Ovis aries: one gene and its partners. The protein of the gene in region 1 interacts with the protein of each later gene in a biochemical or structural test. Links are inferred from orthologs where the notes say so. Each region holds a gene or a part of one and is shown in the gene's direction. Other genes may lie near its edges.

Region 1 (3,500 bases):
CGACATCCAGCCCTGGATGGACCCTCCCCGTTCAGCCCACTGAGCCAGGTGCCGCCAGGCGTCCCCGCTGGCAGCCCCCGCCCTCGGCGCCCTCGGTGCCTGGCACTGTGGTGAATGGAGCTCATTCACGCCTGCAGCCCAGCCTCCCCGCCTGAAAAGCTGGGTTCACGGCTCCTGAGAACAAACACCCCAGCCTGGTCCTGCAGCAGGCAACCCGGGGCCCTCCTGGGCCAGGACCTCATGCTGGGCTCCAAGGAGCCGAGCGAGCGCCGGGCCGCCTCCTGGCCACCAGGTGCCCCCCCCCCCCCGCCCCAGGACATCTGGCCTTGTGTCTCCAAGTCAGCACATGATGGCTGCTGCGGGCCCTGGTGCCCAGCACGGGGCCTCTCAGCTTCCCATGGGGGTCCCGTTCTGCCTCCAACCTCTGGAGGAGGGCGGCCGACAGAGCCCCCTTTGCCGGGGGAGCAGCGGGCCTGACACACAGCTGGAGGCTGGCAGAGCAGGATGCTGGCTGCCCAGGGAGGCGGGGGAGGTGTGAGGGGAGCCAGCTTGAGTGGCAGAGGGTGTGGGGATGCTGACGGGCCGGGCTTTCCGGGGCCCCTGGAGGGGCTGTCGGGGTGGGAGGAGGTGCTGGGGGCCCCCACAGACAGGTGGCCAGTGGCCCACACGCCCTGGCCCTCCATGTCCACTCCGCCTCCCCCCCAGAGGCCAGAGACCCCGCGAGCTGGCCAGGGAGGTACCCTCCCTGTGGGGGTGGGCGGGCCCCCGTTCCCTCCTGCCCAGGGCTGGTCAGACCGCACTCCTGTCAACGGGTTCCCACCCCCCACCACTGCAGGGCGGACCAGCAGAGCCCCAAGTGACCCCTCGGCAGGCGGGCTGGACGCAGGAGCCGCCTGTCTCCCCCCACCCCGGTGACCCAGCAGGGCCCAGATGCCTGGACATCCCAACAGCTGTTGCCCCCACCCCGCGCTGGCCCAGCCACCCTGGAGCCCCGCCACACGCAGGGCCCCCTGGCCGCTCGGCCTCCGGTCTCTGGGCTCCGGCACCCGCCCGCAACCAGAGACGTGCTCGGCAAGTGTGTGCTCGGTGATTGGTGAATACGTGCCCCTGGCCGCATCTGTTGTTTATTGTACGTGTGAGATCTGGGGTCGGGAGCACCCTGATTAAGACATCATTCCCGTGAAATGACAGACAGCTCCGCCACTGGTCCTTTCCACGCGGCTTCCGGGAACCCATTAGCGTTCGTTGCCACCCAGTGGCAGGCGGTGTTCCTGGACCACCAGCTACGGGGAGGGCGACTCCATCCTGATCTCAGACATGCTGGGGGCTGGCATCCTGCTTCTGTCTGGGGAAGGATCACCCCCCCAACACACACAATCACCCCCAACACACACACGGTCACCCCCAACACACGATCACCCCTCAACACACACGATCACCCCCCAACACACGATCACCCCCAACACACAATCACCCCCCAACACACACGATCACCCCCCAACACACGATCACCCCCAACACACACACACGATCACCCCCCCAACACACACCCTCCCCAAGACCTGAGACCAGGCTCTTTCTAACAAAAGCACAGGAAGGGTTTGGGAGACCAGCCTCCCAGGTGGAGCGCAAGGCCTGGAGTCTATGTCTCCGTGGTGAGGGGGTGGCGGGGAGGGGTGCCTTGTCAGCCCTGATACCATCGGACCCTGTACGTCCGAGAGGGCCAGGCCTCTGGGAGATGAGGGCGGCCCCGGGCACCCCCACCCTGGGGCCAGCAGCTCTGCACACTGCCCCGGAGGGTCAGCGAGCCCGGGGGCCTTGGAGAACATTTCTGGCCCCTCCCGGCCTCGGTTTCTTCATCCGCAGAATGGGGATGATAAGGTCGAGGGCGGTCAGCAGGGCATCCCTGTTCATTGCGCATGCTCAGAACAGTCCTTCACCCAACAGCTCAGCTCTAGACTGGCCCTGCCCTTGGGACACTCACCTTGTGCATCTTAAAACACAGGGCAGCTCGCCACCCGCAGGTGTCCCTTTAGGAGCAAGGAGATCAGTTGTGGGGGGCAGGGGGGAGCAGGTGAAGGCCCTGGGCTCCTCCAGAGCCCGCAGGCTGCACGCATATCCTTGGTTCTCTTGGGGGGGTGGAAGGGGCCCCCTGGGCCACACTGCAGTCACGGGGGCTCCGGGGGGCCGTCCTCACCTCCTCGGGGGCGGCGGAGGGCTCCTGTGTGTGGGGCACCAGGTGAGCACTCAGCCACCAGGGGCTGGGCTGGCCCAGCTCCGCCCTGGCACCTTTTAGGAACAGAGGCCTCCTGCACGTTGAGACTCTGTGAGGCCTGACGCCTGGCGGGATGGAGGCTCCCTACCGGCCCACCCTCGGCAGGCAGGGCTGACCACATGCTCGCTGCAGGGGGCTGTGGCATGGACGGTCTTCCGTGGGAGGCAGGGGCTGGCCTGTGGCGGGGGTGGGGGGGTTCCCCTGCCGGCAGCCCTGAAGGTGCGTGGGGTCCGCGGCCCCTGGGGGGGCCCGGCTGTGCTGACCGCCCCCGCCCCTCCCCCCAGAGCCGGATGGCCGAGAGCCTGCGCCTCTTCGACTCCATCTGCAACAACAACTGGTTTGTCAGCACGTCCCTCATCCTCTTCCTGAACAAGAAGGACCTGCTGGCGCAGAAGATCCGCCGCACCCCGCTGACCGTGTGCTTCCCCGAGTACAGCGGCCAGAACACCTACGAGGAGGCCGCCGTCTACATCCAGCGGCAGTTCGAGGACCTGAACCGCAACAAGGAGACAAAGGAGATCTACTCACACTTCACCTGCGCCACGGACACCAGCAACATCCAGTTCGTGTTCGACGCCGTGACCGACGTCATCATCCAGAACAACCTCAAGTACATCGGCCTCTGCTGAGGGGCCGGCGGGGCCCAGCCCGGGGCGGAAGGCGGGGGCGGAACGCGTCCCCAGCCCGCCCCCTCAGCCCCCGAGGCTCTGCAAACACGACTGTATACGGATAGGTTGCTAGGTAGGTAGACACACTTGGGCGTGCACACACACACGCGCACACACACACTCCCCGCAGACGGGCAGGCTCCCCGCCCGGCCGAGGTCCGTGAAGGCTTGAGGAGCTGTCGCCAAGTCCGCCCCCCAGTCCCCAGACCCTCCTGCCAAGTCACTCTGCCTTCCCGACGCGGCCCCGCTCCGCGCGGGGGGACCACAGGGCCGGGCGGCCGGCTCCCCGGGAGGAGACCCAGGGCCGGAGCCATGCCACCCCCACCGGCACACGCGGGCACCGGGCACCAGGCCGGCCACAGCACTGACTGGCCCTCCAGCCACTCACCGCCCTTTCAGACGCGCTTGGGGGACACGCAGCAAGCCGCACGGTGACCCACGTGGCGCGGCCCGCTGGGTTCCCGCTTTTCTCCTACGAGTTGGACGTTTTATAAAACCGAACCCTGGTTTTTTTCCTCTGATATCCTTTGTTTTTCGGAGTGGGGGGCAAATCTCCT
Region 2 (3,722 bases), on another chromosome or scaffold:
CGATACTAGCTCTCAAAGTATAGTGTCTTCTGGAGGAAAAGGTCCACAGGAATTCTTTTTCTGTGTCCACCACCTTTGGAAGCTCCATCCTATACCAGTCAACATTCATACCTCTGAGACCATTGCTGTTATGAATCCACTTTCCAGAGGAGACCAAGGCTTGTTAAGGCTAAGTAACCTACCCAGAGCTGGCATTTATCCCAGATCTGTCTGACTGCCCCCCACTAGGTGGCTTTGAACCTGACTTTGCTCAGTGGGGACTGATAGCCAAGCATATTCTTGCACCTGCCCAGCCCAGGACCTGCCTCTGATACCCGGCGGGCATCTCTGGGGGAACATGGGGCAGGAGGGAGGTCTGTTCTGACCCCCCAGCACACACACGGTGTTTCTGGCAGGCTCTTCTTGGAGAACAGCAAGCTGGAGCACAGCGAGGATGAGAGCGCTGTCCTGGGCCAAGGTGGGAGCGGCACCGTCATCTACCGGGCCAGGTACCAAGGCCAGCCTGTGGCTGTGAAGCGATTCCAGATCAAGAAATTCAAGAACTTTGCAAATGCCCCTGCAGGTAAACAGGGCCCTGGGTTGTTTCTTTTCAGACATGTCTTCCCTTGGTCCAAACCTGTACCACCTTAGATGCCCAAGGCCACACAGGCAGCGGAAGAGGGGGGTGATGCCAGTGTGGGCCCCAGGGGTGGTCCTGCTTTCTGCCTGGTGAGACGTGGGCCAGGACTGAGCATCAGGCTGAACACGGCCTAGAAATTGCTTTCGGAGGTGACTTTCTTGTCTGACATGAGCCCCCAAGAGCATGGGCCAGCCTTACAGTTTCTATCTGTTGCATGTCCAGCACAGTGCCCACATGATGGGCACACAGTCAGACCTCAAGTGGACCGCTCGCCCTGGGGACCCACCTCCCCATGCAGTTACTAAGGGAAGGATAGTGGCTAAGGTTCAATCCCAATCCAGATGAATGGATCGGGAAGCCGTTGTGGGTAGCTTCTCCCTCACCCCCGCCCCTCCCGCCCTTGTCCACTCATCATGTACAGCTCAGAGGTGCTCCAGAGCCACCTGCCACCACCTAATGCCCACCAAAGGCGAGCATGTGGAGGCCTTCTACCTTCCAGCCGCTGAGTGTTGCATTTCTCGTGGCCCCTGGCCTAGCACGGTTATCATCATGATCACAGAAGGAATTTACGCTCGTGGTAGAAAAATCAGAATCGTGGAACAGTATGAAGAACCAGATTAGAAAGGAAGAGACAGAACTGTAGACGTGGGAAGAGAATGGAAATCTAAGAGGCTATTAAGCGTCAGAGCCAGTAAGAGTTTGATAGTTTGCTAGATGTGAGCTCAACATCAAATGTGGCAACAATGACCCATTAGACAATGCCTTCCGTGGCAGCCATTAAGCCACAAGGTATTGAGAAATAATTAATAGATGTCATTCAATTTAGTTCTCATCTAAACTCCAGCAGTGTGTGTGAGAGAGAGACAGAGAGAGAAAGAGAGAGAAATCTGACTAATTCTAAAATACATGTGGGAACTTTGCTGGTGGTCCAGTGGTTAAGACTTTGTGTTTCCACTGTAGGGGGCAGGGGTTCGATCCCCAGCTGGGGAACTGAGATCCTGTGTGCCGTGCAGCAGGGCCAAATAAATAAATTAAAATGGAAAGAAAAAGAAAATGCATGTGAAATGACAAACACCCAAGAACAGTCAGGAAAACTCCACAATGGAAGACAAAGAGCAGAGGCTTGCCCAGCAAACGTCCTGACTTACCAGGCTCCACATGCTAGGGCGGGGTACTCCTGGGCACGGTTGGGCCTGTCGGGAACAGACAGAGCCTGCATGCATGCGAGAGGCTGGCACACGACAGAGGTAACATCGGGAGTCAAGAGAAAGGCAGGCTGTTCATTAAACTGGGGCAGAGACTTCAGCCATAGTCAAAAATACATGATTAATGGTTTAAAGGCCCAATGTGAAAAACAACTTTTACACTTAAAAACAAATTTGTCTGGCTCACACATCCATCTGGCACAATCAATCCATTTTAACTGCCAAGATTCTCTTTCTGCTGTTGAAACTCCCATGTCCAGTGATTCCTGACTTTAAAATCTGAACAGGGGAGGGACAGATCAGAACCCAGGAGGACAAGCGGGCTCAGTGACCTCCGGGCTGGCCACAGCCTGGTGGGTGACCAGTGGGTGGAAAAGGCCCCTCGGGGGACTCAGGCAAACGCCTCCCACGTGGGGTGCACTGAGAGGGCAGTGGGAGGACGTTGCAGCACGGCCCACCGCTGCCCCAGACGCTCCTTCTTGGGCCTGAGACGGCCTGTCAAGGCCTGTGACTGCCCTGCGGTTTTCCTTCTGGCCGACACCAGGGTGGTAGTCCGCCCTGCCTTCACGGCCCCGGCCTCTAGGAGTAAGATGAGCAGCAGTGACCAAGCCCCCAGCATCCTTGCAGCTGAGCAGTAGGGGCTTGGTTCCTTGCCAGGCTCTGGGTGACCCTCAGGGCTGCAGATTTGGAATAAGATGCAGCTGAGAGCCTTAGGCGGCAAACAGCAGGCCGGGCAGAGGGCAGCAGAGTGGGTGACGAGGGCGGGGGTGTGCGACCCTCCGCGAAAGGGTCCGGGACACCGAGTGTAGCACCTGACAAGCATGGTGCCCGAGGAGGGGGCTTGATACTAGCCCGGATGCCTCAGGAGGGCTCCCATTTGGTGCCCGATTCTGGGTGACGGTACTGCAGCCCCCAGAGGTACAAGTCCTGGCCCCGGCCAGCCCCAGGAGTCCCCGAGGGGCGGCTCCGAGCCTGGCGGGGCCCCAACCCGGCTGGCGCTGACAGCCGAGCTCCCCCCACAGATACCATGCTGAGGCGCCTACAGGCCACCGACGCCATGAGGAGCTTCTCGGAGTTCCGGCAGGAGGCCAGCATGCTGCACGCCCTGCAGCACCCCTGCATCGTGTCCCTCATCGGCATCAGCGTCCACCCGCTCTGCTTCGCGCTGGAGCTCGCCCCTCTGGGCAGCCTCAACACCGTGCTGTCCGAGAACGCTAGAGGTATGCGCTGCACCTGGAGTCTTCCCCCAGGGGCCCACGGCGGGCAGCACAGGGCCCAGGGAGCCAGCCGGGGCCGGGCACAGCTGCCTGAGTCTCGTGGGCCATGCCTGGTGGAAACAGGAGAGCTTCTCCACGCCTAAGTGTCGGGCAGTGGCGTTGGCACCGCTGGAGGAGCTTGCCGTTTGGAGTCAGACAGAACTGTGTTCTGAGTCCAGGTTCTCTGCCATAATCTGGGAAGTTGCTTCATTTACTCATCCATCAAAGGAGGCAATAGCCCCCCTTGGAGGGCAGTGAGACCATCAAAGGAGGCAGCCCCTGGAGCCCTGAGCGGCAGAGCCCAGGAAGCCCGTGGCTGCTCAAGTCTCTCTCTGCCCACAGGGCTCCGTGTCCATCCACTGTGGTTAAACATCCGAGGCCCTGTGGTCAGTTTTAGCCTACATTATTTTTCAACAAAACTTTAGAACACTTACCCCTGCTAAAATTTTCTTTGAAGCAGAATGTTCTATGTTGAAAGGCAGAAATGAAACCAAGTGCATGAAATCTAACTTTTAAATCCTTCCTAGTAATAAATTTAACCATTTTTCTAAATGTTAAAGTATACTTATATAAGAAATAAATCATGAATCCAGAGGAAAAAAAAAAAAAAAAGAACACTTACCCTAAGAAATGGGTAACTAA
Region 3 (4,420 bases), on another chromosome or scaffold:
GTATTTATGATTTGCCATATTTTACCCTATTTTGTGGGTGTCTTTTCACTCTTTTGATGATGTCCTTTGAAAAACAAAAGGTTTTCATTTTGATGAAATCCAGTTTGCCTGTTTTGTTTTGTTTTTTTTTGTCACTTGTGCTTTTTGGTATCATGTCTAAGAAGGCTTTGCCTCATCTGAGATCACAAATATTTTCTCCTAAGTTTCCTTTTAAAAGTTTTATAATCTTAACTCTTAAACTTGGGTCTATGATTGATTTCAAGTTAATTTTTTAACATGATGTGTGGTCCAACTTATGTTAGTTTTATATATCCATTTTAGGGGCCTGGGACTATGTTATGAAAGGAAGTTCTTTCAGTTCATAGTCCCCAGCAATGCATACCTGGGGTCCTTACCTCTGTACTCCTCCAGACCCAGCAGAAGCCACCTGGGCCTTAGATACCTTTGACCAAGGATCAAACCCAGGCCCCCTGCAGTGGAAGCGCAGAGACTTAACCACTGGACCACCAGGGAAAGTCCAATAATCTGATATTTATAAAGCACTTTACAAAAAGGAAGTATGATGTAGAAGCCAAGTTTTGACTTCATGGTTAGATGACTATCGCACAAGGAAATTACTTCAATTAATTCTGTGCTGTGCTGTGCTTAGTCACTCAGTCGTGTCCAACTCTTTGTGACCCCATGGACAGTGGCCCACTAGGTTCCTCTGTCCATGGGGATTCTCCAGAAAGAACAGTGGAGTGGTTTTCCATGACCACCTCCAGGGGATCTTCCCAACCTAGAAATCAAACCCAGGTCTCCTGCACTGCAGGTGGATTCTTTACCATCTGAGCCACCAAGGAAGTCCTCAATTAATTCTACAAGACATAAATAAAAAGTAATAATCTTTGAAGTGAAGTGTGGTTATGAGTTTAGCAAGCATTTCCAGCCACAAAGCTGACTGCTGCTAGAAGGACCTTTTACGAGACTGAGATAAAATGGCTCCTCTGCCTCTCGAGAGTATAGTCCAAATTTTTCACATATCACACACTACAAATGCAGAATATTACCACATGATTTATTTCCTTTATCACGATATACTAAGCAATATATCACTTGAATCATTTCTTTCAGTTTTGATTTAGCATTAAATTTGAAGTAGGAGTACATTGCTACCTGTAGAGCTGAGGAGCCTGATAGGCTACAGTCCATGGGGTCACAAAGAGTCTGACACAACTGAGCAACTTCACTTTCACTTCACTTGCAACCTGTAGAGGGCAGTCAGAACATACCGAGACTCTCATCCTGGAATAGAGCCCACGGACTGTGGATAAACTGCTGACCCACAACACAGATAATCCTCTTGCTTCGAGGGATGCGACTTTACAGGGAGGCCCCCAGCAGACGAAGCGATGGCCCAGCACCAGCCAAAGGAAGAGAAATAGAGTGGACCCTGGGCTGGTACCGTTAAAATCAAGCTACAGGATTCGATTGAGGCTTTATTGTAAAAACATGCCCAGGCTTTCCCAAGACAACCAACAGGGCCACCAGAAACATTTCTCCAGACCATCGAGGAGGATACGATTTCTGCCTCTGCCGTGGGCTGAGCCATATAATGTGAATGTTCACCAAACCGTGGAAAATGAAGGATGTGCCACAGCCACGCACAATGTCAAGGTAAGACCATCTCCCCAGTCCGTGACCGTTCTTGGCAAGGAAAGGGTTTATCCAGAAAGAATACAAAACCATAGGAAAGCTTTAGTGTCAGCGCTCACTTTACCTTATTGAAGATGTATCAAAAAGGCTTCCAAACTAAACCCAAGAGAAAAACTAGGACTTTGATAATAACCTGATTCTTCCAGTTTTCTCCAACATAAACAGCTTCCCTTTACAACAGCAAATGACTACATTTTGTTTGTTTCAGGAAGTAATGTCTTAAAAAGCAGAAAACCTAGCCATAGATTTCTATGGCTACTATCAATGCTTAGATATTCTGACATAAAAGTTATATCCCATATAGTAATGAAAAAAAATGGGCTTCCCTTGTGGCTCAGTCAGTAAAGGATCCACCTGCAATGCAGGAGATATAAGATATCCGGGTTCAGTCCCTGGGTTGGGGAGATCCCCTGGAGAAAGAACCCGCAACCCACTCCAGTATTCTTGCCTGGAAAATCCCATCGACAGAGGAGCCTGGCAGGCTATAGTCCGTGGGGTTGCAAGAGTTGAACACAACTGAGTGACTAAAACACCACCAATGAAAAAGTATAGATTGCTTTCCACCAAAATTGCTTGAGGGAAAAAAAAATTGGTAAAACTAATACAGGCATGAAAGACCATTTAGGAACTAAGGGTGTTTTTCCTAAAGTCATAGTTGCCTAGATGAATTTCTTAAGCATGAATTTCTATCAGTAGACAATGTGATTTCCCCGAAGAGTAACCATTTTCCTATTCAGCGTTGTGTGTATCTTTGCAGAAAGTACAGTTTAAGTCTGTCGATCCTCTTAACTATTAATAGAAACACCTCTTAAAAGGCTATTTAGTATGGAGGGGGATGGACATGTGTTAATGCCTGTGACCAATGATCAGAGCTCAGAAGTAAATGCTGATAAATTCTACAACCGCAGACCTGTCCAGATTCTGCAGCACTAGAAACTGTGCCTGTGCCTTCGCTCATATCCTCATAATAATCACGTATTTGCAGATTCTAATTATCTAGATCTGTCCTTTCCCCATAGTTTTTTTGTTTTATCTTTTGACTGCACCATGCAGCATATGGGGTCTAAGTTCCCAGACCAGGAATGGAACCTTGGTAGCATGGAGTTTTAACCATTGGACAACCAAGGAAGTTCCTCCCCAATCTTATTTTAACCAACTGGCACAAGGAGAAGTTGTTTGTTTGTTTGTTAAGTCATTGGGAAGCTTTTTCAATAGGAAGGTACTTGATTTCAGTGGTTCAATAGGAAGCTACACTTGATTTCAGTGGTTACACAAACCTTCTCATGTGTTAAAATTGCATAGAACTATACTCACCTGTCGGGCTTCCCAGGTGACTTAGTGGTAAAGAATTCACCTGCCAGCGCAGAAGATGTGGGTTCCATTCCTGGGTCAGGAAGATCCCCTGGAGAAGAAAATGGCAACCCCTCCACCACACACACACATACACACACGGGTGCATACAAACTTATGAAATCTGAATGAGCTCTTAGAATTATACCAGTGTGTCTCCTGGCTTTGATGTTGTACAATTTATGCAGTTTCCATTGGGTGGAACTGTGTGAAGAGTGTGTGGGACCACTGTGTGTACATTCTTTTGTGAAACTTCCAGTGAATCTATAATAATTTCAGAATTAAATGTGTAAAAAAAATCCTTCCAAAAGCAGGTTAGACTGAAAATAACAATTCATTTGTGTTGCATAAATGCGTTGTCTATTGTGGTTCTTCTTGCTATTCTTTTTTATTTGGATTCTTAACCAATTTCGTTAGGTCAGAAGTGCTGAGGTGGTCAAACCTTTTTTAGAGATGAGAAAGCATGTTTGTAAAAAACACTGTTACATGTGTGCAGTCAGCTCAGTGGTGATTCAAACCCATGTTTTTTCTGACACTGACTTCGTTACTAAGTCAATAGATTCTGGCTGTGCTTTAGAAGCAGGCTATAATTTCCCAGGCTGGAATCCAGCCTCCTCAGTAGTGATTTATCTGTGCATTCTGCCCAAAGAACCCAACAAAACTGCTAATTTACTACAAAATAAATTAACATCTCTCCACCTACACAGGCACACAGACAGACACACACTTATGAACTTGACTTCATTGGGATTATTTTTTCTCCACCAGGATTTCTGCTTCCTTCCATTCAGAGCACAGAGACCGAGTGGGAGAGGGGGTGCTCCCTGGACCAGGTGCTCTTTTTAGTGATAAAAGTGAGAGAGAGGAAACTTTACAGCCACCCTGGTGAGCAGTTATCTACCCATCCATCTGTCAGTACAGATAGATGCATACACATGTATGCATTCTTTCCCAGTAATAAAAGTGATCAGAGCTTAGACCAGAAAATTTTCCACATAAAATTATTTTTCACGTCCTTTTAATTGCTGTCCCTCTGAGAGTGCAGACTTTTAGGTGCTCTCCTGGTCCAGGTGTATGACCCCTTGAGAAGCCCATCAAAGCCCTTGCTGTGAGACATTACACACTGAAAGGAGAGAGAGAAACTCCAAGGCCCCCAAAGGTACCTACCAAGACAATGGAGTTTTTATGGCAAAAGCAGGGAGCAGAAAGAAGAAAGGAAAAATCTCTCAGCAAGAAAGAAATTAGGCTTCCAATATCCAGCACCATATACATATATATCGATGTATTCAGAAGACAAAGTTATCCTGTCCTGCCTCCAGTTGTGAAAGAGCGAGTTTCCCAAGGACAGAGTTGGTTCTTCCCTTTGTGAAGGCCC

The links.
Region 2: the proteins of GNAZ (region 1) and LRRK1 form a complex in vitro, tested with the Homo sapiens proteins (2 studies listed by BioGRID and IntAct, with this or other methods). The link is inferred for Ovis aries from reciprocal best matches to the Homo sapiens genes GNAZ and LRRK1.
Region 3: the proteins of GNAZ (region 1) and RGS20 form a complex in vitro, tested with the Homo sapiens proteins (2 studies listed by BioGRID, with this or other methods). The link is inferred for Ovis aries from reciprocal best matches to the Homo sapiens genes GNAZ and RGS20.

What each region holds. Positions count from the first base shown.
Region 1 is NC_056070.1:71,869,400-71,872,899, reverse strand, and holds part of GNAZ (guanine nucleotide-binding protein G(z) subunit alpha), read left to right. Parts: intron 1-2,559; coding exon 2,560-2,904; 3' UTR 2,905-3,500. UniProt on the Homo sapiens protein: Guanine nucleotide-binding proteins (G proteins) are involved as modulators or transducers in various transmembrane signaling systems.
Region 2 is NC_056071.1:4,887,416-4,891,137, reverse strand, and holds part of LRRK1 (leucine-rich repeat serine/threonine-protein kinase 1), read left to right. Parts: intron 1-395; coding exon 396-562; intron 563-2,846; coding exon 2,847-3,044; intron 3,045-3,722.
Region 3 is NC_056062.1:34,890,935-34,895,354, forward strand, and holds the start of RGS20 (regulator of G-protein signaling 20), read left to right. Parts: upstream 1-1,417; 5' UTR 1,418-1,491; coding exon 1,492-1,664; intron 1,665-4,420. UniProt on the Homo sapiens protein: Inhibits signal transduction by increasing the GTPase activity of G protein alpha subunits thereby driving them into their inactive GDP-bound form.